Stegostoma tigrinum: one gene and its partners. The protein of the gene in region 2 purifies or fractionates together with the protein of the main gene of each other region. This does not show direct contact. Links are inferred from orthologs where the notes say so. Each region holds a gene or a part of one and is shown on either strand. Other genes may lie near its edges.

Region 1 (7,991 bases), on a different chromosome or scaffold from region 2:
GGGGGGGAGGAGAGAGGGGGGCGGGGAGGGGAGAGTGGGGGGGGGGGAGGGGAGGGGAGGGGAGAGTGGGGGGGGGGAAGAGAGGGGGGGGGAAGAGAGGGGGGGGGAAGAGAGGGGGGGGGAAGAGGGGGGGGGGAAGAGAGGGGGGGGGAAGAGAGGGGGGGGGAAGAGAGGGGGGGGGAAGAGAGGGGGGGGGAAGAGAGGGGGGGGGAAGAGAGGGGGGGGGAAGAGAGGGGGGGGGAAGAGAGGGGGGGGGAAGAGAGGGGGGGGGAAGAGAGGGGGGGGGAAGAGAGGGGGGGGGAAGAGAGGGGGGGGGAAGAGGGGGGGGGGAAAGAGAGGGGGGGGAAAGAGAGGGGGGGGAAAGAGAGGGGGGGGAAGAGAGGGGGGGGGAAGAGAGGGGGGGGGAAGAGAGGGGGGGGGAGAGAGAGGGGGGGGAGAGAGAGGGGGGGGGAAGAGAGGGGGGGGGAAGAGAGGGGGGGGGAAGAGAGGGGGGGGGGAAGAGAGGGGGGGGGGGAGAGAGGGGGGGGGGGAGAGAGAGGGGGGGGGAGAGAGAGGGGGGGGGAGAGAGAGGGGGGGGAGAGAGAGGGGGGGGGAGAGAGAGGGGGGGGGAGAGAGAGGGGGGGGGAGAGAGAGGGGGGTGGAGAGAGAGGGGGGGGGAGAGAGAGGGGGGGGGAGAGAGAGGGGGGGGGAGAGAGAGGGGGGGGGAGAGAGAGGGGGGGGGGAGAGAGAGGGGGGGGGAGAGAGAGGGGGGGGGAGAGAGAGGGGGGGGGAGAGAGGGGGGGGAGAGAGGGGGGGGGAGAGAGGGGGGGGGAGAGAGGGGGGGGGGGAGAGAGGGGGGGGGAGAGGGGGGGGGAGAGAGGGGGGGGAGAGGGGGGGGGGAGGGGGGGGGGAGAGGGGGGGGGAGAGGGGGGGGGGGAGAGGGGGGGGGAGAGGGGGGGGGGAGAGGGGGGGGGGAGAGGGGGGGGGAGAGGGGGGGGAGAGAGGGGGGGAGAGAGGGGGGGAGGTGTGGGGGTGGGGAGGGGAGGGGGGGGTGGGGAGGGGAGGGGGGGGAGGGGAGGGGGGGGAGGTGGGGGTGGGGAGGGGAGGGGGGAGGTGGGGGTGGGGAGGGGAGGGGGGGAGGTGGGGGTGGGGAGGGGAGCGGGGATGGGGAGGGGAGCGGGGAGGGGAGCGGGGGTGGGGGTGGGGGTGGGGAGGGGAGCGGGGGTGGGGGTGGGGAGGGGAGTGGGGGTGGAGGGGGAGGGACGGGGGGTGGAGGGGGAGGGACGGGGGGTGGGGAGGGAAGGGGTTGGGGGGGGGAGGGACGGGGGGACAGGGTGGGGGGGGACGGGGGGGTGAGGGTGGGGGGGGGAGGGAGGGACGGGGTGGGGGGGGAGGGGGGGGACGGGGGTGGGGGGGGTGCGGGGGACGGGGGTGGGGGGGGCGGGGGACGGGGGTGGGGGGGGAGGATTCGGCAGGGGGAGGTGGGGGAGGAATTGGGGGGGTCGGGGGGAGGAATTGGGGGGGGTCGGGGGGAGCAATGGGGGGGGTCGGGGGGAGCAATTGGCGGGGAGGAATTGGGGGGGGAGGGAATTGGGGGGGGAAGGAATTGGGGGGGGGAAGGAATTGGGGGGGGGAAGGAATTGGGGGGGGGAAGGAATTGGGGGGGGGAGGAATTGGGGGGGGGAGGAATTGGGGGGGGGAGGGAATTGGGGGGGGGGAGGGAATTGGGGGGGGGGAGGGAATTGGGGGGGGGAAGGAATTGGGGGGGGTCGGCGGGAGGAATTGGGGGGGGTCGGCGGGAGGAATTGGGGGGGGTCGGCGGGAGGAATTGGGGGGGGTCGGGGGAGGAATTGGGGGGGGGGTCGGGGGAGGAATTGGGGGGGGGTCGGGGGAGGAATTGGGGGGGGTCGGGGGAGGAATTGGGGGGGGGGTCGGGGGAGGAATTGGGGGGGGGTCGGGGGAGGAATGGGGGGGGGGTCGGGGGAGGAATGGGGGGGGGTCGGGGGAGGAATGGGGGGGGGGTCGGGGGAGGAATGGGGGGGGTCGGGGGAGGAATTGGGGGGGGGGTCGGGGGAGGAATTGGGGGGGGGGTCGGGGGAGGAATGGGGGGGGGGGTCGGGGGAGGAATGGGGGGGGTCGGGGGAGGAATTGGGGGGGGGGGGGTCGGGGGAGGAATTGGGGGGGGGGGGGTCGGGGGAGGAATTGGGGGGGGGGGGGTCGGGGGAGGTGGGCACATGCAGGTGCCACAACACCAGCAGTAACAGAGGGCAAATAAAGGAGTGAAGAGGGTGTACCACAGCACTGGGTCATAGAGTCTCTCAGACAACCAGGTCCGTACTTCTCCATCAAGTTTGTTTTAAATTTGAAAAATATACTTTATTCATAAAAATATCTGTACATATACATAGGCACTAAACCAGTTCGGTTCTGTACTGCAGCAGATGAAGGAACAAACAAACCTAAGACATTTTGTACCTGTACAAGAAATACCTACCTACTGTAGACCCACTTTCCACCAGTTTGCCCCAAGCCTTGTTTGCTTTGGCTCTTTAAATTATAACCTGCATAGCTCTTAAAATGTTGCGAGGGGTCCAGCCTGTACCACCTTGTGGACCAGTGAGTTCTACATACACCCAGCACCTTCTGGATGAAAGGAAAACGTTCCTCAAATACCCTCCTGCTCCTTGCGTGAAAATTCTTGCCCTCCTTTAGCTACTCGACTGAGAGGGTAAAGTTTCTCCAACGCCTGCCTTACTCAGAGCTAAATACACTTGGTAATCTTCCTATCTGCATGGTCGTAAAAGGGGGAGGGGATGGAGAAGTCTTGCAAGGGGGACAGGAGCGAAACGTATGACAGTAGTGTAAGAGTAGCTGCCCACTTTCCCGAAACAAGGACACACACTCTTACCCAGCCAGACTCACCTCCAAAGTGGTTATACAGCCCCTAAGGAAAGGCTCCATGTCCAGTCAATTTCAACGCGGCCCTTCACAATTGATACATAGCCACAGTTTGATACATTCCGGCAGCACTGCGCAAGCGCTCACTAACTCCACCCCCTCGCTCTGTCCCTCCCGGAACTTAAGGACCTTCAAAGTCGGAATGAATGAGAAATTGTTCTTTTCAAAACCAAATGCTATAATTTGAATAAGTTACTCTTCTTTTCGGTGGGGTGCAGGCAAGCCTCCCCCTCTCTCCCTATTTATTCCAGTTCCCTCCCCCCATCCCCCTCTCTGATGAAGGGTCTAGGCCCGAAACGTCAGCTTTTGTGCTCCTGGGATGCTGCTTGGCCTGCTGTGTTCATCCAGCCTCACATTTTATTATCAATGATTACACGTGTTGCTGAGCCACACCGGAGTATCCACCATGTTTCGGTCGGGGGCACAAAAAAGAAATTACTGGAAAAGCTCAGCAGGTCTTTGGAGAGAAAAGCAGGGTGAATGTCTGGTTTCAATACTGACACCTATGTTTTGGATTCTTCAGAAACGGACTGGAACCGTTAAACTTTGCTTTCTCTCCAGAAGATGTTAGAGAACATAAAGGTAGATAAATCTCCAGGATCTCATCTAATGTATCCCAGAATGTTGTTGGAAGGAAATTGTGAGACCCCCTGCAAAAATATTTATCATCTATAACCATGGGTGGGGTGCCTGCTGTTGTATTTTCGTTTGAGAATGTTTGTAAGGAGAAACTGGGGAACTAAAGATATCTGAGTCTGACTTCTGTTGTAGGTGATTATAAAAGGTAGGACTAATGAACATTCAGGGAGGCAAAAATTGCTTAGGGATAGTCAGCATTATTTTGTGAGGAAAACCATGTCTCACAAACTTGATTCAGTTTTTTGAGGAAGTTACCAAAAAGATTGATTAAGGCAGAGCAGTAGATGTTGTTTATTTAGACTTTAGTAAAGCCTTCAAAAAGGTTCCACACAGTGGACTAATTAGTGAAGTTAGGTCACAAGATTAAGGGTGAGTTTGCCAGTTGGACATATAATTGGCTTAACAACAGGAGACAGAGCGTGGTGGTGGAGGGTTGCCTTGCAGACTGGAGGCCTGTGACAACCCTTGTTCCATAAGCATTGGTTCTGGGTCCTCTTTTGTTTGTCATTTATATACATGATTTGGATGAGAATTTAGAAGGCATGGTTACTAAGTTTGTGGATAACATCAAATGGCATTATAGACAGTGAAGAAGGTTTTCTAAGATTACAAAAAGGATCTTGATTAATTGAGTCAACGGACTGAAAAATGGCAGATGGAGTTCAATCTGGATAAGTGCCTTTTGGTACAACAAACGAGGGTAGGGCTTATACAATTAATGGTAGGGTTTTGGTTAGTGTTATAGAACAGAGGCTCCTAGGGGCACACGTATATAATTCTTTCAAGTTTGTGTCACATATAGACAGGGTGGTTGTCATGCTTGCCTTCATTGCTCAGTCTCTGAGGATAGGAGTTGGGAAGTCATGTTGAGGTTGGTGAGGCCTTTTCCGGAGTACTGTGTATTTGGTTCTGGTCACCCAGATACAGGAAGGATATTATTAAACTGGAGAGGGTTCAGAGGGGATTTACAGAGATCTAATGAGAGGTATATATAGCTACTGGGAGTTGTCCATTCCCTAGGAAGGGGTGATTTCAAAACTAGGGGGTTACATTTTTAAGGTGAGAGGAGAGAGATTTAAAAAAAAAAGGGCAATTTTTTTTTACACAGAGGGTGGTCCGTGCGTGGAATGAACTTCCTGAGGACGTGGTGAATGCGGGTAGAATTACAATGTTTAAAAGACATTTGGATAGGTACATGAATAAGTCGTGTTTGGAGGAATTTGGGGCAAGCGCAAGCAGTTAGGATTATGTGTGGCTTGGACTGAACGATCTGTTTCAGTGCTGGAGGACTCTGACTCTTCACAGATTTTGCCAGACCTGCTGAAATTTTCCAGCAATTTGTTTTTCTTTCAGATTTCCAGCATCTGCAGTTCTTCCAAGTTTTTTTTAAAAAAAAAACTATATTCTATCTCATTTTCCATCACTGGGCCTTGTATTCATGGCTTTTCAAGTGTTCATCTAAAACACATCTGAAATGTTGTGATGGTTTCTGGCTCCACCATTCTTTCAGGCAGCAAGTTGCAAATTCACAACCCTTTTTGGGTGAAAATTATTTTCTTCAAGTCCTCGCAGAATCTCTGCTTCTTACCTTTAAAACCCTTTAGTTATTGACCAGTTTATTACAGATGGAGGGGGAAATAGTCTCCCAATCTATGCCCCTCAGACCCATGAGCATTTTTCGGCAAAACAGACCTAGATTTGCCTGGAAATATTGAAGCACAAAGCCTTTCCTGTCAGTATAAGTTGTTGGAAAAGCTCAGCAAGTCAGGCACCATCTGTGGAGAGAAATCAGAGTTCTGAGGAAGGGTCACTCAACCCGAAACATTAACTCTGCTTTCTCTCTCCACACATGCTGCCAGACCTGCTGAGCTTTGCCAGCAACTTCTGTTTTTGTGCCTTTCCAGTCTGGTTGTGTTTCCCATTCTCTCTGTTGCCGATGGAGCTGTACTCCTCTGTGAGGAACAAGGAGCCCAATTATCATGGAAAGAACCATAGAATGTATTCGGATCATCAAGTCCACACCACCTCTCTGAAGAATATCCCACCTATTCTCACACCCCTACCCTATCTATCCCTGTAACCTTGCTTTTCCCATCACTAATTGACCTAACCTGGACACAATGGACAATTCAGCATAGCCAGTCCATCCTAACCTACACATCTTTGGACTGTGGAAGGAAACAGACACAGGAGGAGAACAGTTGCCTAAGGGTGGGATCAAACCCTGGGTTTTTGGTGCTATGAGGTGGCAGTGCGAACCACTGAGTCACTGAAAAGAAATTGCACTTCATGACATATCCCAAAACACTTTACAGCTAATGTTCACAGTGCTGTGAAATAGGAAACACAGCAGCTAATTTGCACTTAGAAAGCTCCCATTAATATTTAACTAACAGGGTACAAAATTACAGCGCTGTGGAAAGAGAGCAGTGGGAGAATGGGATATATAGAGGAGCTCTTTTTGAAAGCTGACTCGGGTAAAACAAGCCGTTCTCCTTCAAGTATCTAGTTTTGAAAGTTCCTGTTGAATCTGTTCTCACCACCCTTTCAAGGCAGTGAGTTCTAGACCACAACTCGTGACATCAAAACAAACATTTCAACATCTCCCTCGTGCTTCACCTTCCTGCCAGTTATTCAGTCTGTCGAAATTTAATCTGTCTTTCTCCAATCCCAACTTCTCCACAGGAGCTGAGGTATTTGATCTGCTGTCCTTTCTACATTTACAGAATCGCAGAGGGGTCACAGCACCGAAAACAGCTGTCCTGCCCCTCATGTTTGTACACTGTCTGTGAATGACCAATTCACTTCTTGCCATTCCGCTCCCTCCCTCCTGCCAATAACCCAATTTGCCTTTCAGATAACCGTCCCAGCTTGGAATTATTTCACCATTCTTTTAATGTCACTGGGTCAAAATCCTGGCCCTCTCTCTAACAACACTGTGGATGCACCATCTTTAGTGAACTGCAGTTCAAGGCAGCAGGTCACCACCACCATCTCAAGGGCACCATGGGATGGGCGAAGAATGTTGGCCTGCTCCAGAAATAGCAATATCAATAGCACCCATTTCTAAAGCGTTCTGTTTATATCACATCTTCGTTGCCCCAAACTAGATGCCTGATCGTGTGCCGCTCCCTTTGGCACTGCATGAGAACATGAGCCTCTCTCTGGAAAGGGTCACAGAGTCACAAGTTTCTGACTCAGCAGCCTGTGACTTCTTATCTCATTGACCCTTGAAAGCAGGAAGGCCTTCCAGGTCTTCCTTTCCGGAGCCCTTGTTCAATAGAAGCATTGGTACCTGTCTCAGACTGCAATCGCTCCCTGGCTTGAGGGCAGGGGGGGGAAATGTCTCCCTCTGGTGGCTTAACCAAGATCAGCACTTGCGAGCATTGGTCGGTGGTTTCGTTCTATCCTTGTGCCATTAACACCAATGATTTCATTCCCCAGTTTAACCTGCCCTTCTCTTACACGCACACAAACGGAGATGTTTTAAGAGACAGTGAGGTTTGGTCAGCTTCTAATCCTGTGTATCACATGGTTGGCATCACTTGCAAGTGGTTACCGTATCTGCTTACTAAATAGGCTGCCACCGGCACCTCTTTCCCATAGTAATCTCTGTAGCAGTACTCAAAACAAAGGGTAAACCCCAATATGAGAGCTCTTGTGGTTCAGTGGAAGTATCCCAATATCTGGGCCAGAAGGCCTAGGCTGAAGTCCCACCTGGCCCGGACATGCATCAGTCCTGAGGAAGGGTTGCTGAACCTGAACTGTTTACGTGGACTTCTCTCCAATGATGCTGCTGAACTTTTCCAGGTATTTGCGTTTTTGTTTGTGACTTCCAGCATCCACAGTCCTTTCAGTTTTTATTACGCAGCACTGCATGTCTGAACAGTTTGATTATAACTAGTTATACACAAGAAGGACCATTATCTCCCAACAATGAGAAGGCTAGAACGGAGCAATGTCACACTGAGCAACCCCTTCTCAGTGATATGTCTGTGCAGCCACATACACAGGGACTCAGTTACAGACTCAAATTAAATTCGAAGTACAACTGAGGTCTTTGTGTATTTTATTAATGTCCTGTTTCCAAAGCAAAAAACTCACACCGTGCTACCAACCAGGGTCAAGAGATAGAGATTTTCACGCGCAATGTTTTACTGCTTGCAGCCAATAACCACTGCTAAAGAATGTGATATTCATCGTATTGTAAGGCCAGTTTGTCTGGAGCAGCAACATGCAGATCACTGTATGGACAGAATTCTCCATTCACATCAACTGGGACAACCCAGCTCTACTTCCTCTCCTCCTCATTCTCCTTCTTGTTATCCTTTGAGGTCTGCGACTGTAGGGAGCCCATGGCGTTCCGAATGGCCTCGTTGTTTGGGTCAACGCCAGGCAGGTTCTCCAACACGCTC
Region 2 (6,946 bases):
CCGGGTGCCGGGGGGTGGGGGGAGAAAGAGAAGAGACAAGGGGGTGGGGGGGGGTTGGGCGGAGAAGGGAAGGGACGTGGTGGTGGGCTGGTGAGGGTGAAGGGCCGGGGTGGGTGAGAAGGAGGAGGTGGAGAAGGGCCGGGGGGGAGGGGAGGAAGAGAGGCTGGTAGAGGGGGGAGAGGAGGAAGGGGGCCAGGGCCGTGGGGAAAAGGCAAGAGCATTGGGTTAGAGGTGGGCAGGGCAAAGGCAGAAGGCTGGAAGGGAGATTATTTCAGGGGTGTCAGGAGGTGGGGGTGATGAGAGAGGCGGGCAGGTGACAAGGCAAGTGGGCAGGATGGAGGGTTGTGGGGCAGCATGGAGAAGGAGAAAGTAGAAACAGGGAGTCTGGGACGAGAGGCCTGGGCGGATGGTAGTGGGAAGAGGAGGAGGAGAAGTGGGGATGGGGGTAAGGACTGGGGAAGGAAGGGTGGAAAAGGATAGAAAGGAGGAGTACGGACAAGGAAAGAGGAGGATGGGGAGTCCATGGAAGCGCACCGGAGTGAGGTAGCACATCATCAATCCTTCACGATACAGAGCAACTGGAAAATGGCCATTTGTCAGCTGCCATAGGTAGCTCAGATTTTTAAAAGAACAGATAAGTGTTCAGGTAAGTGTTCAGATAAAACTTTTACATTTTGGTGATGACTCACATTAAGTTTGCTATGTGAATCTGTACAGTAGCAAAACAGTATAGAATTATCTTAGCCAAGCCTATATAATTCTGTCCTCACTCAGTACCTGCACACAACAGCTTACAACAGAGGAAAACACATTCTATGGCAGAAAGCCTGACCAATTTCCCCCTCCTATATGATGGACTGAAGTCACCAGTAGCACAATAATTGCTGTCTTGATCGAGGTCAATTAATTCGCAGACACGATGGATCAAAGTTGCAATTTCCTTGGTTGCATTAACTTAAATGAGGTATTGCAATTTTAATCAAATAAACTACATAATGAACTTCTTACAAACAAAATAAAAGGCAAGAGATGGGCCCTTAACAATGTTTTGTGCTGAAAATGAGAAGTACTGTCTTTCCACAGCTATGCCAATTCCTTGATATGTATGTGATAGAATAACATTCAAAGAAAGCCTTAAAACAATCTGACTAAATCCGAATATACAAAATAGATTTACAACAAAAAACAGAATAGCTTCACAAAAGTAAAACTACAGCATACCAATTTAGCCTTATCCAATGATTCTTGAAGTTTAGAACTCATTGTGTCAGGATATTTAGGATTTTTATTAAAAAACAGTTTATGAAAACGTATGCAAAAAGTAATTTGTCATACCAATTTCTAAATAAGGCCTATCATAAAAACATTGTAAAACAGCACAAATCGTGCAAAATTTTGCACATTTCCAACAGTACAGCTAGCTTATCACAAATTCTTTCATGTCTGCCCTCAGTCGATTGACAGTAGCAACTTTAGGGATTGTCCACCTCCAGTAGGGATGTCCAAGTATTACTATTGTCTCATCACTTCATTTAGTCAACCTTCTTCCCTCCACTTCTTTGCCCCACTTGTTTGATATTTGTGAATTCAGAAATGTCAGGAGTGTTTTGGATGTACACTAGATTCTGCATTATTGTCACAGACATGCACATACAGTTATAACTATATACAACATACTCAGTAATTATGAAAACAAGATAGTTAGTGTACGCCACTAACATAAGTTTTACACTAAAAAAGTAATCAACTATTTGGTAGAACCAACAGTTACAAATTATGCTGTTTCTATATTTTAAAAAATGCATCATTTTTAAATGAGTTAAAATCAAAGTTGACATGTTGAAAGTACTAATTGCACACTATCACAAATATGCCAAATTCCTAAACATACCACATCTCTGCTTAACCTGATGGACACGCAGAGAAAAAGCTAGAAATTAATTTCCATGTTCCATTTCTATGTCCACTGGTTATACAATGAAGTTATTCTAATATTTGTGCCCTTCAGAAGTTGTAAACTCCAATTCCAACTCATGATAATTATATATGTTAAATTAATATCAATAAGCAATTACAGAGTTAAAAGAATCAGTTCACAATTACTTTATGCACATTTCTAAGCAGATTAAAGTTTTCCGTCTTTTCCGATTTCAAATCGTTTGTTACCAGGAATCCTTTCGGCCATAAGCAGACCATCAGGCGAATCATTTCCAGTCTGGCCTACATTTTTTACGATTAGCACTGACTGTTAATTAACAAATACCACAGGTCAAGAAATCGTTCGATTAACAATGTTTTCAGGGGTGGGGGGTGAAGGTGTGCAAGATTCTAAATAAAGGAAAATGATTTAGATATAATGTACTTACTGCTGACTTTCATGCTCCCAAAAGCAGACGGCTGCTGCACAGGTTTGCAGCTCTCAGCAAAAGACGTTGTCCTGGGTCGACCACTCATGATTACTTTAAAGCGACATCTAATTTTTCAAACATATATTTTTTAAAAAAAAGACACTTATATTCCTTTATTTTCGATCCCCTCTGATTTTTAATCCTGTCCACCTGGTTTCATCGCGCAAATTTCTCCTGGTCAAATTATCTGTCTTTTTAAAAAATATTTTTATAATAATCGTCAGAAATAAATCTGAAATGATTTCAAAGGTCTATATTGATCTTGACCGAGCTCAATGCAGGATGGTGGTGGTGATGATGATGGTGGTGGTGGTGGTGGTTCCTGCCATGGCGGCTCCTTCAGTTCAATTCAATCCTGAGGTAATTTTTTTTCCTTTTTTTTAATTTCTCGGCTTATTTTTTCAGATCTTAATAGCCCAGTCGCATCTCTGTTAGTACACGGAAAAAAAATAAAACAATGTCTGAGGGAAAACCCGTGGTTTTACCCCAATTAAAACGGTTAAAACCCCTCCCTAATTCACTCGGCTGTCTTTGTACTTTTTTTGCCTATCTCTTTCTCCCTCTCACTGCAGCTGTAACCTCCTGGTCAATCTAACTTGATGCCGGGGCGCAGTGATTGATGTGAGAAAAGAACCATTCACAGAACGCGTCAAAGACGTAAGCATCGCCTAGGGCGATGCGGAACCAATCGGCGAGGGGGTGTTGCTGGAGGTGTTTATCAAGTTCGGTTGACTGATAGCGACGGGGAAACGGGCCGACAGCCTCGGTTTGCCCTTCCCCCTCTTCGTTTGTGTTCGCCAGCCAATGAAAGCACGTCGTCGGCAATAAGGAGCGGTGACGGAAAAGCACGAGCTCCGCGAAGTGCCAGTGACGTTGGCCAACCGGAACCTGACGGAAAAATCTGACGACGAGCGTTGCCTGTGATTGGAAGTGTTCGAACGCATTACAGGGCAACTGGCAGCGACCTCTAGCTTGGAGGAGCGGCTGGTACGATTTAACCGACAGGTGCAGCTTATATTTCAGACAAGGAAATACTTACGTATACAGAACCTATCAGTAATTAGAATCAGAATAGCAAAAAAGAACAAAGGCCAGTGGTAAGTAATATATAGGCAATCTGTTCTAGAAAATACAATATTTTCTTCCCTCTAATATTTGAATTTATATGTAAATCAGCTGCTGAACTCTGCAGTCATAGCTGAACAACCTATGATACCCGAGAAAACGGTATCATGGTTCACAAGTTTTATCGCTTTAAGGCTGATTATGAACGTTGGGCAGTGATTTGAATGGACCTTGCCCTCTGTTGGAGTAAACCAGTCACGCCTGGTGATTAGTGATCTATTCCACCAGTCATAAGTTAAATGGACAAGATGTACTTGGCCCTAGGACAGACTACTATTGATTTCCAAGTAACTCATTTGCTGAAGAAATGATTGTGATGTAACTACAGAATTGGTCTTGCTTCAGACAGTTAGAAAAGTATCTGCAAATTTGTAACTTCTATCGGTAATGTTAAATCTCTCAAACATTTTGGGGGGGCAGAAACAAAACATGTATCTTCAGGAACATCTTATCAGCAAGTGACTAAGTAGGAAATTGGTGGACTCTAGATTTGTTTTTGACAACCTCTTTTTCTAAAACTCAGTTTTAAATCTCAGATTGAAATTCAGCACACACAATTATGACAAAAGTAGCAGAGCTTGTCAATAGGTTAGATTGAGATTTGAATTGCCACTCAAGTAAATAGACCCTTGATGGTACACATCTTGAGATTCATTTGGATCAGCAATGAAATTCATGTGATGAGAGTGAGGCAGCTTTGACAACAGAGGTCTGAGGTTTCTGGCATGAACCAAGCAAGATATTTTGTTCTTTCTGATATTGAACTGAGAAAATTGTGATTTGTATGGAACTTAGTTTGGACTCTACTATTGCAGTTGTACAAGATGTTGATGAGGCCATATTTGAAGTAATGTATGCAGTTCTGGTCACCCTACCATATTAAATTAGAAAGAGCGCTGAACAGACTTACTAGGATGCTACCTGGAGTGGAAGGTTTGTGTTATTAGGAGAGGTTGGCTAGGCTAGGAAATTTTCCACTGGCATGTAGGAGGCTGAGGGAGTGACCTGATCGAAGTCTATAAAATCATGAGCGGCATCAGTAAGGTAGATAGACAGCTTTTCCCCATGATTGAGAAACCTAAAGCTAGAGGTCATATATTTAAGGCGTGAGGGGAAAGATTTAAGAGTCCAAAGTGCCAATATTTTTTCAGAGTGTGGTGATTGCCTAGAATAGGTAGTGGTGGAAGCGAATACAATTGTCATTTAAGAAATAGTTAGGTACATTGCGTGGTGGCTCAGTGGTTAGCACTGCAGCCTCGCAGTGCCAGGGACGTGGGTTTGATTCCAGCCCCGGGTAACTATCTGTGCACATTCTCCCCATGTCTGCATGGGTTTCCTCCGGGTGCTCCGGTTTCCTCCTACAGTCCAAAGATGTGCAGGCTAAGTGGATTAACCATGCTAAATTGCCCGTAGTGTTCAGGGGTGTGTGGGTTGTAGGGGGTGGGGATGGGTCTGGGTGCGATTGTCCAAGAGGCAGTGTGGACTTGTTGGGCCGAAGGGCCTGTTTCCACACTGTAGGGAATCTAATCCAATCTACGTGGACGGAACAGGTATGGAGGGATATGGACCAAAGGCAGGCAAATGGGATTAGTTTAAATTGTGAAAACTGAGGTCCATAGGAAGATTGGGCGGAAGGGCCATAGACCTCTGACTCTGGCTGTTGTGAATTTGATTGGTGAAGTAATTGGTAAAATCATATAGCTGGTGAAATATTAATACATTTATATGATTTGAATGCAGCTTGTAAATGAATAATAATATAAACGAGCTAACAATAACTTGCTTAAAAAAGCAATCTGAGACAGAGTTCAGATGTTATAGAAAAATAGGACAGAACTGGATTATTTAGCATCTTGAGCCTGTTCCTTTTACAGAAGATAGACTGACGAGTTGCTATGCTTAAGTATAGGCCTAGGATGGAGTGAAACTGTAGAGATATATAAAGTAGATGTAGTTGAAATTGTCAGCTGTGCCAGAGGCTGGTTCCAAAGCAGGTTGTTAATCACCTTCGAAGAAAAAATATCCATATCTTAGACTTTTCAGTGAGAAAAGTAAAATGAGTAGGAGAAAATAAGAGATTACAGGTAAGGAAAACAAAAAAGGAGCACAAAGAAACTTTTAAAATGTTCTTAATGCTCAGAAGAAATAGTCAAGCATTTTACACTTATATCAGCAAATAAAACTATTATAAGTGAGAAAAAAGAAAATTTTGAGGATGATTGAATAGGTCAGAGGCATGTAATAAGTACAAAACTTTGATAACCATTTTTCTTTTAGGAAAACGTTACCAAAGAGGAGTGGTTACAGATAGAGATAAAAGACAGAGAATGACACTTACAACCCGGACTGAAGCCAGCATTTTAGTTTTCTAAATTTTTTATTTGCATGAAATTTCTGCTCAACCAGCCTGATAAATTAGCCACAGTGGAAGAATCAAGAGATGTGAGAGTGAGGCCAGACTGAGCATTGACAGTGTGAAAATTTGTGTGTTTTCAGATTATATCACTGAAGGACAGCATGTGTGTCAGAAATAGAGCTAAGAGTGGATCATCAGAGGACATTGGACATAAAAATGTAGGATAGCAAATGAGCAATTGCAGATGATTTCACTGGCCACAACTAAATAAGTAGAGCAGAACCAAACTCACTCAATGATGAAAGATTTGATTTGGTTTATTCTTGTCACGTGTACCTAGGTACAGTGAAAAGTTCTGTTTTGTGTGCAGTACATGCAGATCAGATCATAACATACTAAGATCACAGGATGATAGAACAGAGCAAGGAATACAAAGTTGCACAAAAAGCAAGATCAGCATTAGACTTGAAATTTGAGAGGTCCACTCTGAAGCCTAATAACAACAGGGAAGAAGCTGTTCTTGAATTTATTGGTACTTGTGCTTAAGCTTTTACATGTCCTGCCTCATTGAAAAAAGTTGGAAGAGATTATAACTGGGATGGGAGGAGTCTTCAGTGATGGCTACCTTTCTGAGGCAGCAAGATGTGTAACTTGAGTCTTCGGGTGGAAGATTGGCATGCATGATGATCTGGGCTGTGTTCACAACTTTCTGGAGTTTCTTACTGTCCAGAGCAGAGCAGTTGACGCACCAAGCTGTAATACATCCAGATAGAATGCTTTCTATGACGCATCTGTTAAAAAAAAATTGAGCGTGAACATGTGTGGATGTGCCGAAGTTCCTTAGTCTCCTGAGGACGAAGAGACATTTGCCTTCTTGACCGTCGCATCAACCTGGCTGGACCAGGACAGATTGTTGGTGAACGTTGCTTATAGGAGCTCAACGCTGTCAACCATCTCCACCTCAGCTCCCTTGATGTAGAAAGTGGCGTGCTCTCCTCCTTGCTTCCTGAAGTAGTTGATCAGCTCTTAAGTTTTGTTGATATTGAGGGAGAGATTT
Region 3 (7,770 bases), on a different chromosome or scaffold from region 2:
ACAGACCAATATCATTAAAATTCTTTCCAACTTTTTAAAAAGTACTTCACATTTTTTGTTCTTCTGCTCCCTATGTAAAAGCTTTTCCAGAAAGAAACAAAGCAAGACAGTGCAAAGGAAACATGAAACATCCATCATGAACAAGTCAGAACACCACTCTACATTCTTAAGCACGCCACCACACCTTGATGCCCTAGAAACTTGGAAATCATGCAAGACAAAAAGGAGTTTGGACTACTTATACCTTGATCGTATACAGACATATTGTCACCTATACCTTTAGCTTTTACCTTCAAGGTATGCAGGTTTGATTTTTATAAATTACCAATTCTATTTTATGAAATATATTATATTATTGTTCCATTTGACTACCAAATTCCTTTTCCAAGTGTGAACATTCAGAAAAGATGATAATTTCTGCAGAAGTTAGTCCTGTACAAAAACATTATATTTAAATAGCTTAGAAATTTCAAATGGAGTATTTAGATTACTTTTTTCCAAATGATTTCATAAAGCTAAAGGAAGATAACAGAGTTAAAACTTCAATAATTACAAAATGTCCAAATGCCAAAACTACAAGATTTCAGTACCTTCTGAAATGCCATAGAAATGTCAAAAGTCCTTTGCCACATTTGAAAGTGACACGGTCTTTTTACTGCAGTAAATTATGGCTCAATTTATTAATTACTTATTCTCAAATAGGAAGCAGGGCAACCTCCCCATTGACAATATTGAGATTTCAGACAACATTTTGAAAGATACACTAACTTAAATGGACTAAATCTTATAAATCATGTAGATAAATAGTTTATTTGGGACTTTTAATATAATGAAGCATTTCAAGGTGCTGCACAGGAACAATACATACAAACTTAAACATCAAGCCACACAAGACATTAAAACAGACAAGAGGATGGTTTTAATAAAGCACCTCAAATAAATAAGACGAGGTTGGATGGGAGGAAGAAAAGGTACAGAAGAACTGCAGCTGAATGAGGGAATTCCACAGCTTAGGGCTCAGGCAGCCAAAGGCTATCAATTATACAGGGATGAAAAAATGGGGACACACAAGCCGCCAGAATTTGAAGAGTGCAAAAATCTGAAGCCTGTAGTGCTAGAGATCAGAGGTTGAAGGGAAAGAGATGGACTCAAAATTAAAGATGATAATTTTAAAATCAAAACATTGCAAAACCAGAAGTCAAATAGTTCAAACAGTGACAGGTGAGCAAAAGTTAAGCATAGAACATGAGCAACAGAAGTTTGGGTGAATGTAAATTTTATAGAAGAAAAGCTTGATCAATGTCACATTACTGGAAACAAAAGCATGAGGAAAGTGATCCTCAGCATTTCACTGCTGCATTATTCATAGTATCAGAAGAAAAACAACAGTATGCATTTTGGAAATATTCAAGCTTGTTTTGACATTCTTAACCTCTGTAAAAATGCATCCTTCACTAGTAGGCAGTATAAGCTACCAGGCATTTTGAAGCAATAACATTTTCAAATTCCAGAAAAGTTATAGTCAGCTAACGGGAAGGCTTTTGTAAGTTATCAGCACACTTCTCCATGAGTCATTCTTGACTTACATTACAGTTTTACACTTCGAACTGGGTGGGGCTTTAGTTCATGCAGAAGCCCTAAGGATTTGCAGAAGGTAAAGAGCTATCATATGGCAAAGCAGTTTAATGACCTCATTTGCAGTACTTTCAGGTAAATAAGCTGTACACCATCTAAACTTCTTCCTTTTAAACCATCATCTCCAAATTTGGGGAATATGTAATTTATCCAATTAACAATTTTTTTAAACAAAAATCTAACCATTTTAAAAGGAAGTATTCAAAGGTTATATTCTAGGTGCATAAGGGTGTTTTACTTAAACACAAATTATATAACCCACGTTTTCAAAGTTTCCTTATGCATTTAATTTTGGAAATGAATTGTTAGATATTATAACAGTAACATTTCACACCATAGTTTTTACTTGTCAGAAACAAGAAAGTCAATTACTGTCCTTAGGGTGCTGACAATTTTAATGATAATGGGATGGGCACTTGGGGAAAAGATTGAATTCTCCTCTCTTCAAAATTCAAAGTTTTATTTTAACTTCATAAAAGCAGCTTTTCATTACTGTCCTGGAACAGAACATAACTATGCAAGCTAAATGATACCAAAAATATTTTATATAGGACAATTGCGTACATAAGAGTGGATTATTCTGCTCTATATTAAATCAATGAAATGCCTCTCGCCAGCATTCCACGTCCCAGAGACGTAATCATTTTAACTGCTATCTTACCAACTAATTATTTTAGACTGAGAGAAAAATCACATTTGATTTTTTTTAAGAGGAGGCAGGGAGTTCATACAACCGAAGAAGCGGAAGCCAAGCCCATTTTTATAGTGGCTGGAACGCGAAAGGCGGTTTCCATGTTACCTGTCCCCTGATTAGCACGAGTTTGAAAATTACAAAAATGCATTAACAATCCAGCTCACACTAACTCCAAAAAACTCAATTCTTTTGCAGATTAAGGTAGTTTTTAAATTCGTCAGTAGAGTTAGTCGATAGAGCAAAGCTATCCTCTGAACTTTTTTTTTAAAAAGGAAAAAGTATTTAAATTTGATAGGAACGAAATTGCCCGTGGCGAGACAGCAGTGTGGAGCTGGAGGAACACAGCAGGCCAGGCAACATCAGAGGTGCAGGAAAGTTGACGTCTTGGGTCGGGAGCCTCTTGCCTGCGGCGAGCGCGCCGGCCCAACCCGGTGTCTGACTCTCTTCCTGGTTTCTCTCCCTTTTCCGCCTTAATAAATCGACCAAAAACAAGGTGCTTTTTCAAACTGTCGCTTACCTCCGAGATTCAAGTTTTTTTTCGAACGCTGTCGCCTTCCTGAATTATAATCTATAGAAATAGATGGACTTTGCTTATCGCTTTTTAATCCAAAATTTTAAAAATGCTGTCCGTCCGTCACGATTCACTGCTTCGCTCGAGCTCTCGAACTGCAGCTCGCGCACCAACCGTTTGGGCAGATCCCACCCGTGACGTAAACTTCCACCCCTGACCAATAGACGGGCGCCGTGCTAGTTGAGTGGCAGACGATATAACAAATAGCAAGAAAGAATCCCCCATCGTCGGGGCAGCTCCCTCTCCAACTGACTGATAACTCCTCCTACAGCGGCAAAGCCAGGAAAGTGGCTAATGCCGCAGTCATATGGAGTGATGAGGTAAGATTGAACGACATCTCGGTCGGCCAACGGAGAAGGACATTGAAGGAGGGGATGTGGTAAAAGCTCAAAATTGAAGGGATTGGTAGCTCCCGACTTGCTTAGCCTTAATTTTTATTTTATTTGTTGATGGGTATGTGGGCAAAACTGTTTGGTCCAACGTCTGCTGTCTATCCCTAATTGTACGGAGAGAAGTCAAGAAATAACCATGTTACTGGAACTTTGGAGTCACGTAGGCTTGACCAGGTAAGAATAAGAACATTGTTAAGAAATATTGAGCTATTCAGCCCATTGAAACTGCTCTCCAATTTAATGAGACCACGGTTGATCTGATAAACCTCAACTCCACTTACCTGCCTTTTTCCGAAAACCTTTGGTTCCCTTACTAATTAAAAATCTTACCTTATTCTATCTGACAGAACAGAATCTTCAGAAGAAGGATCCCGACCTGAAACGACAACTTTCCTGCTCCTCTGTTGCTGCCTGGCCTGCTGTGCTCCACTGGGTCCACACTGAGTTCCCTCTACCCACACACACAATTTTGACTGGAAAAAAAGCCAACCTTTCATTTGCCTTAAAAGTAAAACAAAGACAAAAATTGCAAATAATTCTGAAACAAAAACAAAAATTGCTGGAGAAACTCAGCAAGTCTAAAGCATCTTTGGGGAGAAAAACAGAGTTAAGGTTTCAAATCCAGTTATTCTGTCAGAACTTCTGCTCCAAATGTGTTTAATTACATCTCTGAACAAGTTGAATAGAAAAATCTCCAGTACTGCCCGTTTTGCACCACTGACCAAGATGAATATCCTCACATGTTCAATTGATTCAATCACACTTTCCAGTATAACAAAATTACAGACATCAGCATACAATTTAGAAATGCAGACTATTCTGAAGGTTCCCCTCCCTTTACAGAATCCAGTCGATTCCTAAATTATGTATGTTTTTTGCACTACACTACCTGGGATTCTATTCTGTATTAATATTTTTGTGTATATCATTACTTCTTGTTAACAGTCGTAAAAATACTCATTCTATCACATCACATCATATCATTTTCCCTGCAATTGATAACAAGCAGCTCTGAACATTCTCTGATAAGAAAGGTATTCAAACTGACGAAAGGCCATACCAAAGCTGCCAAAACAATTCAATAAGTGGCTGTTCAATGACTTGAAAGTCCAATGATTCCAAAACCCAAACGTCCCCTGATTCACTCTTGGTTTGTGTTGACTTATTTGATCATAAGCATCCTACAACTGACAGTAGAAGCACCATTTGAAAATTGAATAACTAACTAAACAGTGAATGAACACCACAACTGGTAGATCTAGGTTCTGTGGCATTTGATTTGGTCTACCATGAATTTAAATCAATATGCACCAAGTGGCAACATAGTCAAGTCCATTTCATTAATTTATTTTTCATGAAGTGACTGCAACAAGAAGTTTGTTAAAAAGTTGTTGTGGAGTTTTATGATCTTGATAGAATGATTGGAATGTCATTTGACCGCCCTGGAATCAAGAAAAATTAACTAATACTGCTTTAGCCACTGTTTAAAATTGCTAGTCATGGTCCATTTCTAGTCAGTGGCAACCCCCAGAATATTGATAGTTGGAGATTCAACTATGAATGATAATGCATCATGGGCAGATGGTTGAATTCTGTATTGTTGGAGATGGTCATTACTTGGCACTTGTGTATTGCAAATGCTCCTTTCCACTTATCAGCCCAAGTCAGGATCTTGCTGCATTTGGACACTGACTGTTTCAGTATCTAAGGAGATAGCAAGAACTGCAGATGCCGGAGTCAGAGACAATACAGTACGGAGCTAACAACAACACCTTCCAGTCACCAACCATTTTAACTCCTCCTCCCACTCCCTGGGTGACATGTCTATCCTGGGCCTCCTTCAGTGTCACAATGACACCACCCACAAACTGGCAGAGCACCACCTCACATTCTGCCTTGGGAGCCTACAGCTCAATGGCCTAAACACTGATGTCACCAGTTTTAAAATCTCCCTATGCCCGGCCTCATCCCGTGTCTAACCCTCCCTCTCATCCCCCCTCCTTGACCTGACACAATTTGTCGATCTTCTATCTACCCAACACATCACACCGACCAATCCCCCCACTCCCTACCTGCACGCACCTATCACCATCCCACCTACCTTCCCCAGCCCCACCCCTCTCTCTATTTCTGAGCTCCCTTGCTCCTTCCCATTTCTGAAGAAGGTCCTGACCCAAAACGTCAACTTTCCTGCTCCTCTGATGCTGCCTGGCCTGCTATGTTCCTCCAGCTCCATACTGTGCTACCTCAGTATGTAAGGAGCTATGATGGCTCTGAATATTGTGTAATCATCCATAAACATGCCCCTTTCTGACCTTATGATGAAGGGTGCATAATTGTTGAAACAGCTGAGGAATTCCTGCAGTGATTTCTTGTGGCTAAGATGATTGATCACCAACGACCACAGACATCTTACTTTACGTTAAATATGACTCCAAGTAACAAAGAGCTTTCCCTCTGATTCCCATTTGGCTAGGGTTTCTTGGTGCCACACTTGTTCAAATGTTGCCTTAATGTCAAAGGCAATCACCCTCACTTTCCTTCACAGGTTCATCTCTTTTATTCATGTTTGGACCCAGCCTATAATGAGGACAGTAACTCAGTGGGCCAGACAAACTGAGCGACAGTGAGTAGGTTATTGCTGAGTAAGTACTGCTTTGCTCACTGCAGGTTACACCAGGTGAATATAGCAAATTTTCCCAATCCAAAGGGCATTCATGAACCAGATGTTTTTGGCAATTACTTCATGCTTACCATGAAATTAGCTTTTAGTTCCAGATTTATTCACTAAGTTCAAGTTGAACATTGTTGGATTTGAACCCATGTCCCAAGAGCTTTAGCCTAGATATCTGGATTACTAGTCTAATGACAACACTAGTATATCACCTATGATATTGATAGATCATCCATCTCCCCATGATCTTTTTCAGATAAATAATGTTGTAGGATCTCTCCATTCACATAAAAATACAGATCAGACCTTAATTGCTGATCTAAAATATAACATTTCCAACAATGCAGCACTCTCTATGCCTTTTGAAGTATCAGCTAGATGATATGTTCAAGCCCAGGAGCAAGCTTTAAGGTTGAAGCCGCTGACTTAAAGATGAGAATCAACTGAGCTAAACTGACCTCAAAGAAAGAGAAATCCTGTCCTGAAACTATCTGTCTGTAGTAGACAGTAGTGTATCACTCCCTGATGTGATATTAAGAAGATGATACACACATTGCTCCTTTCCTCCTATTGGCACCGGAGTAGGATGCTTCAGCAGGAGGTCATCCACTCTATCCATTTCTTTCCTATTTCTTTCTCTTTTTTTTCTCTCCTGGTGTTTCTTTTCTTCACACGCGGCCTCAATGCAGACCCAGTGAGGTCTCCTCTCAGCCTCTGGCAGTCTCTCGGCTGAGTCTCTTGGTGGCCCATGGCAGTTTCTCGGCCCAATGTAGTGGTGCCTTGGCCCCATCTCTCAGCAGCCCATGCTGGTTTCTCAACCTAGTATGGCAGTGTCTTGGCCCCGTCTCTCAATGGCCCATGGCAGTCTCTCAGCTTGGCATGGCAGTGCCTCACCCTGGAATCTCGGCCCAGTGTGGCAGAATCTCCCCCCACCCCACCAATGTGAGGGACGCCATAGATTGGGTAGTCCCTGTACTCCTAATCTTCTGGCATTATTGCTACAGTGGAAATCCAATTCTTTTCTTCCCTCTGCACAGAGGCCAGTAAAATCAACAGTAGTATCACTCAGGTTAAGATTTGCAAACTATTTGGGATATTTCTGGTCTGTTTAGATCACCTATTCACTGTTTTCAGAAACTGAGTTATAGCAGGAGCCATGTACTATCTGAGATGAATTACCTTACTCCCATACTGCGACTGTGGACATCACAAGTAACATGCATTAGACAAGGTAAGATCAATTACAGATATATTAAAAATATTGAAATTGCTCATTTTTTATTGTTTACTTAATTTTCCCTGTTGCATTCCTCCCTTTAACCTCCTGAGGCAAGGGAAATTTACTAGGTTACTTCACAGCTGGGGATAGTAGAGTTTGCTGTGCATATTAGAATCTCTGCTATCTGATGTGGTACTTTGGCGTAAGATGGTGTTTTGGGAGTCTGGATCATATTACTTCTCATATAAAGGCAAGCCCCTGAGAATTATAGTTTGAAAACTTAAGTCCCCTTTGGGCCAGAGACCTCAGAAACAGCGTAACTAAAATATGTTTATATTTTGTGTCATTAAAGGAGCAGTTTCATCCAGAGGGTAAAAGCAATATGCCTTCAGTGACTTGCCTGTTTGACCTGTTTTGTTTTCTTCCAGATATTTTGTCGCAGGTGTAGCTTCACAATAGTGATGGGATCAACTGTCTGGATCTTAGACTGTAGCATACCCCTCTAAATGTCTACCTCGTCTCTTCTTTTAAAATATATTTCCTTTAAATTTTCCCAATTTGTCTGAGCTTTTTGGTCACCTGTCC
Region 4 (7,376 bases), on a different chromosome or scaffold from region 2:
CTGTGAATGGACTATAATGGTTCAAGAAGGCAGTTCATCATGACTTTCTAAAAAGAGTATTTATAGATGGCCAATAAGCATTAACTTACAAATGACACCCACATTCTATGAGCACATTTTTAAAAAAACATATCTATACTTGGGATTTGTCTTCCAATTAGCAATGGATGTCAAGTACAAGAATTACTCCTCTGCAACAACTTATTTTGCAAACTTCCAGTTCAGTGTCATTCTGAAGTAATTCAGTTTTTAAATGTTTGCCTTGGCTTATCTTTCTCAGTCTCTCAAATCTTTAGCACCAGTCAAAATGTTATTTTTTTTAAAAAGCAATATGCCAAAAATAAACACTCTTTTGCTGGTACAAATAAAAAGTATTAAAGCCTCCCTCTTGACTCAATTCAATTCTTGAGAAATCAGCTTCACTGCCCCTTTTGCTACAATCATGTCCTTTGGAGCTATAGTGTTCAAAAATTATCAGGATATACTAAGCCAACCTCAGTAATACATTATAATGCCCTTAATACTGAACCCCACTCCTAGTTGGTGCTGCTGGCTACATACTAAAAATGGGAATTTCTGAAGATTCCCCAATGATTTTGTTCAATTTTGAATTGAATGTTTATTCCTTTAGAATTCCCCAAAATTTTAAATCTAAAATTTTAAGTAATTTAAAATTATTTTGTCATGCTAACTTTGTTCATCAATTCTAATAACTCCCAGCATTTTTAACAAATTTGACCTACTTTATAATCAGCTAACCTATCTGCAAACAAACTGTTCTTGAAAGAAAAACAACTAGTCAGAAGTGGCACTGTTTTTAATTAGATTTATAAACAAATCATTGTCAATTTAATCAATCTTCATCTATCCACCAAGTGACATCTAGTTCAATCGTAAAACAGGTAAATGACTAAGCAATGTTAAAACTAATGTAATCCGAACTTTTGCTAAAAGCAGCTCAATATTCTATACATGACAATCACACTACACAGGTTACAAGTCATGTATCAATTGTCAAACGTGTTTGATTTTGTCCAGAACCCAAAGTAAAAAAATACAAATTATGTACTTCCCTATCAACTGAAATGATGATATTTTAAACAAGCGAATTTTACTGGCCAGTAATATTTAACAGATTTTTCTACATGTCTGAAATTATACTGGGTCACTTTTTAAGAGGCTTCAGAATTTCATTCCCTTCACAAAGCTTTAATTCTTGCAGAAACATTGCTGATAACATTGTGCACAAAATATATAAAAGAACCCACTTATTTGATTATTACTTCCTTCCCTACTTTTGAAGAAACAAAGTATTTTCACAAAGTATGCAAAGCTCTGCCACCCACAGCCAAAGTGCTTATGCCATCTTTAAAGAAAAACCAACGTAGTCCATATGATAATGATACAGCCATAGTACCAAGTTTCAGGATTTTGACTCAGTGATGAAGACAGACTGGTATACATCCAAGTCAGAACAAAGCACGATTTAGAGTGGTGAATGTTTACAACGATGATGGGATGTTTTGTGCATCATTGAGCTCCAAGTGTTTTAACAGGCACATTCATATCGACATGCAGAGTATTCCATACAGCTCCTGATTTATGCCTTATAGGTGGTAGAAAGATTACAGAGTGAAATATTGCTTTCGGTGAATAACAACACTTCGCATCACTGAAGTAATATCATTCTCTTGTTAGTGAAGAATTATGAATTAAGTACAATTTACTATTACTCATGCAATCTTTATTCAGTCATAATCAGATGACAAGGGGCAATATATAGATCCGAAATTAAATGGAAACCTTGGAGGCCACACTATGTGCATTTTAGTGGGGGGGAAAGAGGGAGGGAAGAGAGAACAGAAAAGACAGGAAGAAATTTACTGGATAGACAAAAGAATGTGAATACATCTAATTACTTCATTCAAATTCTGGGAAATCACAAGATGATGCAAAGTGATTTCACATTTCTAGCAACCCACGATTTACCTAAAGCGTTCTGACGTCAATGTTGCAGTCACCAATGGCCCTCGAGTGTCACTAGTATTTGGAGCAAAACTGCAGCCATGAGCATAGACTATAGGAAACTGATTACCTTGAATGTCCAATACTTTTGCACCAAGCTAAACAGGTGATTTCTCTGTCCGAAAAAGACTTTTTACATTAATCTTTTTCAGCGCGCGGGTACTCACCTTCATGAAACCGAGAATGTTGTTAACAATCAAAGGACTCACTGATAATATCTTAACAAGTGCTTACATTCTGCTTGGCTTTGCTTTTGTCTCTGGTCCGTTAACTGCTTAATAACATATGCACCAAACACGAACAAAACTCTTTTCTAGGTCAGCACTAAAACGTCGGCCTGCCACGTTCGCCATCAACCAACTACAGAAGCTTGATCATACACGAAGCAAAAAAAGTCAAACTGTCCTTTAATCGTCAACCACCACACGCCCCAAACAAAATAAACAAGGCTACTCTCTCCTTTCCTTTGAGAAAATGAAACCTGCTGCCCTCTCAACTCACTTTCTCGAGTTTCTCGAAGTATTCCCTGAGGTAGGTGATGGGTTTCTCGGGCCTGGCGATGCAGAGCTGAACGATGCAGTCCTTGAGGACCTGCTGGATGTTGTGCTTGTGGACATACTGCTCACACTCTCGCAGGCTGCGCTCTTCTTCCCCGCTCCCCGCGGCCGCCATCTTAGCCACCCAGTTAACGCTTCAGAAGCCTGGAGGAATGATCGACAGCGAGTTAACTCGGCGCCGAGAGACCACTCGCCGCCTACTCCTCCAATCCACCCCCTTCCTCTAACCTACCCACCCCACAGAAAACGAAGTCGACAGTCGGAGCGGGAGGGCGATGGGCCTGTCTTTTCCGCCCCCCCCCCCACCGATCCTAGGGGCGACAGGCTGAACAAGTTTATCCGTAGGAACAGGGGCCTGTTAGAAAGCGACTGCGGCAGGACGAGTTTCCTCAGTCACTGTCACCTCCACCGGAAGGCAGCCGCGCCGCTGACGTCAATGCGCCTCGCTCTCAGCCGCGGTGGGGGAGGGGAGGCGGAAACCACAGGCCTGTGGAAATGGTATGTGCAGTGTGTTGTATGCACATACACGGGACACCACACTTGTAACGCGCACATTCCATGTTTACACGCTGCACTCAAGCATTCACTCTGTACCCTCACAGAACCAACGTGCTGCTACCCCTGCACGTCTCTCACTGTTTACAAATTTCACGAGGTTGGGGATAAACTGACACACGCACCGCGTAGGTATTTAAGCAAGCGTAGGCCCTTGAGCCACTCTTGTACACCATTCAAGGACATCACGGCGGATATGTCACTGGATTCTTCAAATGCCCACCTTCAACCCACACAGTCGATTAACAAAAACGTGTCAGGCTCAGATTTTAAACTAACAAATAAAGGAGCAACAGTTGTCACTTGCGAGGAAGAGACTTCTCCCATCTCTCGCAGTCCTGAAAGGTCAGATTCGTTTTCAGTTGAAGCCCCCGATGCGACACTTTCCGACCATAGAAAGTCTTTCTTTCTTCACTGTAATATCTTGAAAATTTCAATCAGTCATAGCATAACAAGGTGTAGGAACACAAGTTCATTCAGCCCAAGTCAGCTCTGTCAGTTCGGTGATGACTGATCTCATAATCCTGAACTCCAGTTTTCTGCCTTTTCCCCTATAACACTTGACACTCTTACTAATTAAAACGCTATCTCAGCCTTGAATATACTTAATGACCCAGCCTCAATGGCCTCTACAGTAAAGAATTCCACTGAATCATTACACTCAGAGAAGAAATTCTTCGTCATCTATGTTTTAAATGTGTGACCCCTTATTCTGAGGTTAAATGCTCTTGTTCTCGACTGTCTCGGGGCAAACAACCTTCCTGGACCTATACTGTCAAGTCCCCTAAGAATCTTGTAAATTTTAATAAGGTTGCCACTCATTCTTCTACATTGCAAAGAGTACAGGCTTAACCCGAACGGTCCTTTGGGAAATGATTTCTAGATATCCATATCAAAAATTAACATACATTGACATTTTCTTTCAATAGATATTTCACATCCAATGAATTAGTCACCTCTTCATAAATTACTAGATCATCAAGCATAATATATCCATTATAAAGCCATGCTGCTGTGGTCAATCAGCTGAAAATTTTGAAGGTGTTCAGTCATCATCCTTAACAGCTGACAAGTAATTTTGAGCCAATGTATTTAGGCTAACTGACCTATAGTTCCCTGGTTTCCCTCTCATAAATCTAATTTTACAGTCCAAAAATAGGACATCCTAAAGCGGTTTACAAGCTGAAATATTGGGATCATGAACTCCAATGCAGAAAGACAGTTGTGGAGTTCTGACCAAGTTATGACAACTGTACACATGTGCTCCAGTTCCAATAGTTCTTCCTAAGGAGTCGCAAAAACATTCAGGACATAAAAAAAGAGATCACAGGAAAAGAAAGATTGGTAAGCATTGATCTAAAGAAGCAGAAATTGAAGACCATAAGACATAGGAGTGGAAGTAAGGCCATTCAGCCCATCGAGTCCACTCTGCCATTTAATCACGGCTGATGGGCATTTCAACTCCACTTCCCTGCATTCCCCCCGTAGCCCTTAATTCCTTGTGAGATCAAGAATTTATCAATCTCTGCCTTGAAGACATTTAACATCCCAGCCTCCACTGCGCTCCATGGCAATGAATTCCACAGGCCCATCACTCTCTGGCTGAAGAAATGTCTCCTCATTTCCGTTTTAAATTTACCCCCTCTAGTTCTAAGGCTGTACCCATGGGTCCTAGTCTCCCCATCTAACGGAAACAACTTCCCAGCGTCCACCCTTTCTAAGCCATACACTATCTTATAAGTTTCTATTAGATCTCCCCTCAACCTTCTAAATTCTAATGAATACAATCCCAGGATCCTCAGCTGTTCATCATTACGTTAAACCTACCATTCCAGGGATCATCCGTGTGAATCTCCGCTGGACACGCTCCAGTGCCAGTATGTCCTTCCTGAGGTGTGGGGCCCAAAATTGAGAGAATTTTAGAAAACTGTTGGTGGGGCATTTGCAATGTCCTCACCTACTTCACAGAATCAGAGAATTGTTAAAGCGCTGAAAGCAGGCATTCAGTCCATCATGTCAGCACCTACTCTTCAAAATACTAGATAAGAATTTCATTTAAAACCCTGGGATAGAAATTATCTGGTGTAGTGATTGTAATCAGCCAGCTGGTCCTTATAGAATATGACTTCTCTGATCGGGCTGTTAATCTGGTCCAATCAGAGAGGCGTAGCTGACAGATAAGAACCTGAATATCAGACATCCTATTCACTCAGGGCAAATTCTGAGGAATCTGGATCTGTCTCAAGGGTTCTCCATGTGTAATTAAAAGATGACTTAGTGATGGGATACTGATAGCTGTGGAGTTATTTCATTATTTTATTTGATCTATTATTTTCTTCATTACTGTTATTTTACTTACACTGTCTTTCTCATAACGCAAATGATTTTAAAAAGTGCTGGTTTTGGTAGGAGTAAATTACTGCAGGTGCTGGAATCTATACTGAAAACAAAAAATGCTGGAGATCACAGCAGATCAGGCAGCATACATGGGGAGACAGCAAACTAATGTTTCGCATCTAGATGACCCTTCAGCAGAGCTGCTGTGAAGTGTGAAGGGAGCAGCATTTATGCAATGTTTGTGGGATGGTGTTTGCAGTGCTGAGGAAGAAAGGGTATTGATAGTACAAATTAAGTGGTTGGAATGTGAGAATGGCTGAACAATGGTGTGTCTAACTGCCAGGCTTTACAATGTTTTGGACTTAGTATTGAGTTAAACACCTTCTCTGATGAAGGGTCTAGGCCCGAAACGTCAGTTTTTGTGCTCCTGAGATGCTGCTTGGCCTACTGTGTTCATCCCTCTTCACACTCTTTCAGATTGAGAACCCACTTCCATTCCTTTAATTCTTTTAATTTTACATTATTTGTGACCATGTCCTCTCTCCCATCCCCCGACTCCAGTGGACTGTTTGTTTTTCCAGTCTGCCAGCAAGAGACAACTTCAATCTGCCATTCTCACATTCAGATCACTTAATCTGGATTATCAGCACCCTTTCTTCCCCCAGCACTCCACATCGTCCCCTTCCCCCCACCTAATGCATAGATGCTGTCCTGTCCACCCTTCACATCAACTCTGCAGAAAAGTCATCTCGACACAAAACGTTGGCTTGCTCTCACCATGGATGCTACCTGACCCGCTGTGATCTCCAGCATTTTTTGTTTTCAATGCTGTTTTGGTATCCCTTGCAAATTTCTTTTCATACAGTATTTTGTAAATTTTACAATTGATTTTGCCACTCTTTGCTATTCCTAAAAGCTCTTCCAATCAACATGATTTTTTTTTGCATTCCTGTCTTTAGTTTTCTTTCAGTTTTATGTTGTCTTTTGCCATTTGAGCTTCATATCCCTTAGGAATATAAACTGGTTCTATATGACATTAAGTTTTTTTTTGAATGCGATTGTTCTGTCTTTCTAAATATTTAACAAATTTGCCCAATTTACAGGACCTTTGGGACAAGCTTATTCAGGTCCTGAGTCCACACCTACCGCTCCTAGCCCAGCCAGCTCACTGCTGAGTTGGCATGACACATTCCTCCATTGCGTCGTTGACCCAGAGAGAGAAAAACACATTAAAAAAAACAGTAATACTTGGAAATGAATACATTGATCATACCGGAGCACTGTTCCGAGGTACACAAAACAAGTTAAATCAGTATGCGTCATCTACAAAATTAAAAGAAAGATCTGCAGATGCTGAACAGCTGAAACAAAAACAGAAATTGCTGAAGAAACCCAGTTGTTTTGGTAGTATCTGTGGTGAAAAAGCTTTCTCTCCACAAATGCTGCCAGACTTTCTGAGTTTCTCCAGTAATTGCTGTTTTTGCATCAGATTTTACTGCAGTGTTTCCTTTTGGGCAGGACCAGATTTTTGAAGAGTGTGGTTCACAGTGAATCAGATGTGACACGAACAATAGTCTGCATGAAGGAATTTCACTAGATAAGCTAATAAGTTCCTCCTTAGGCCACCTTGCCAAGGTAATGATCACCAAACATCTTGCATGGCCACTCATGATTTCCAACACTAAGTGAAATCACCAAACACTCCACTTAGCTCCTCATTTCTCATTGCCAAAGTATAGCACTTCCAAGTTCAAATAATACTGTATACCAAAATATCTCACACCAAGTGCCATTCAATCATACTTGTCTATGACAAATAGCCTGCAACTTTAAGTTCAGATCTTCATGTTTAAATAAAGGCTCTGCCCTCCCCATGTCTGAAATAGCTAATTATGCCATATC

The links.
Region 1: the proteins of gsk3ba (region 2) and prune purify together in Homo sapiens (affinity purification with mass spectrometry; 5 studies listed by BioGRID and IntAct, with this or other methods). This does not show direct contact. The link is inferred for Stegostoma tigrinum from reciprocal best matches to the Homo sapiens genes GSK3B and PRUNE1.
Region 3: the proteins of gsk3ba (region 2) and myosin-9-like purify together in Homo sapiens (affinity purification with western blotting; 4 studies listed by BioGRID, with this or other methods). This does not show direct contact. The link is inferred for Stegostoma tigrinum from reciprocal best matches to the Homo sapiens genes GSK3B and MYH9.
Region 4: the proteins of gsk3ba (region 2) and cAMP-dependent protein kinase type I-alpha regulatory subunit purify together in Homo sapiens (affinity purification with mass spectrometry; 3 studies listed by BioGRID and IntAct, with this or other methods). This does not show direct contact. The link is inferred for Stegostoma tigrinum from reciprocal best matches to the Homo sapiens genes GSK3B and PRKAR1A.

What each region holds. Positions count from the first base shown.
Region 1 is NC_081400.1:4,160,978-4,168,968, forward strand, and holds the start of prune (exopolyphosphatase PRUNE1), read right to left. Parts: upstream 3,007-7,991; 5' UTR 2,941-3,006; coding exon 2,902-2,940; intron 1-2,901. Other genes in the region: putative PIP5K1A and PSMD4-like protein, read right to left, coding at 7,868-7,991. UniProt on the Homo sapiens protein: Phosphodiesterase (PDE) that has higher activity toward cAMP than cGMP, as substrate. Plays a role in cell proliferation, migration and differentiation, and acts as a negative regulator of NME1. Plays a role in the regulation of neurogenesis.
Region 2 is NC_081365.1:34,870,954-34,877,899, reverse strand, and holds the start of gsk3ba (glycogen synthase kinase-3 beta), read right to left. Parts: upstream 3,018-6,946; 5' UTR 2,455-3,017; coding exon 2,367-2,454; intron 1-2,366. UniProt on the Homo sapiens protein: Constitutively active protein kinase that acts as a negative regulator in the hormonal control of glucose homeostasis, Wnt signaling and regulation of transcription factors and microtubules, by phosphorylating and inactivating glycogen synthase (GYS1 or GYS2), EIF2B, CTNNB1/beta-catenin, APC, AXIN1, DPYSL2/CRMP2, JUN, NFATC1/NFATC, MAPT/TAU and MACF1.
Region 3 is NC_081391.1:3,547,398-3,555,167, reverse strand, and holds the start of myosin-9-like, read right to left. Parts: upstream 3,019-7,770; 5' UTR 2,847-3,018; intron 1-2,846. UniProt on the Homo sapiens protein: Cellular myosin that appears to play a role in cytokinesis, cell shape, and specialized functions such as secretion and capping. Required for cortical actin clearance prior to oocyte exocytosis. Promotes cell motility in conjunction with S100A4.
Region 4 is NC_081375.1:22,779,352-22,786,727, reverse strand, and holds the start of cAMP-dependent protein kinase type I-alpha regulatory subunit, read right to left. Parts: upstream 3,017-7,376; 5' UTR 2,815-3,016; intron 2,727-2,814; 5' UTR 2,698-2,726; coding exon 2,527-2,697; intron 1-2,526. UniProt on the Homo sapiens protein: Regulatory subunit of the cAMP-dependent protein kinases involved in cAMP signaling in cells.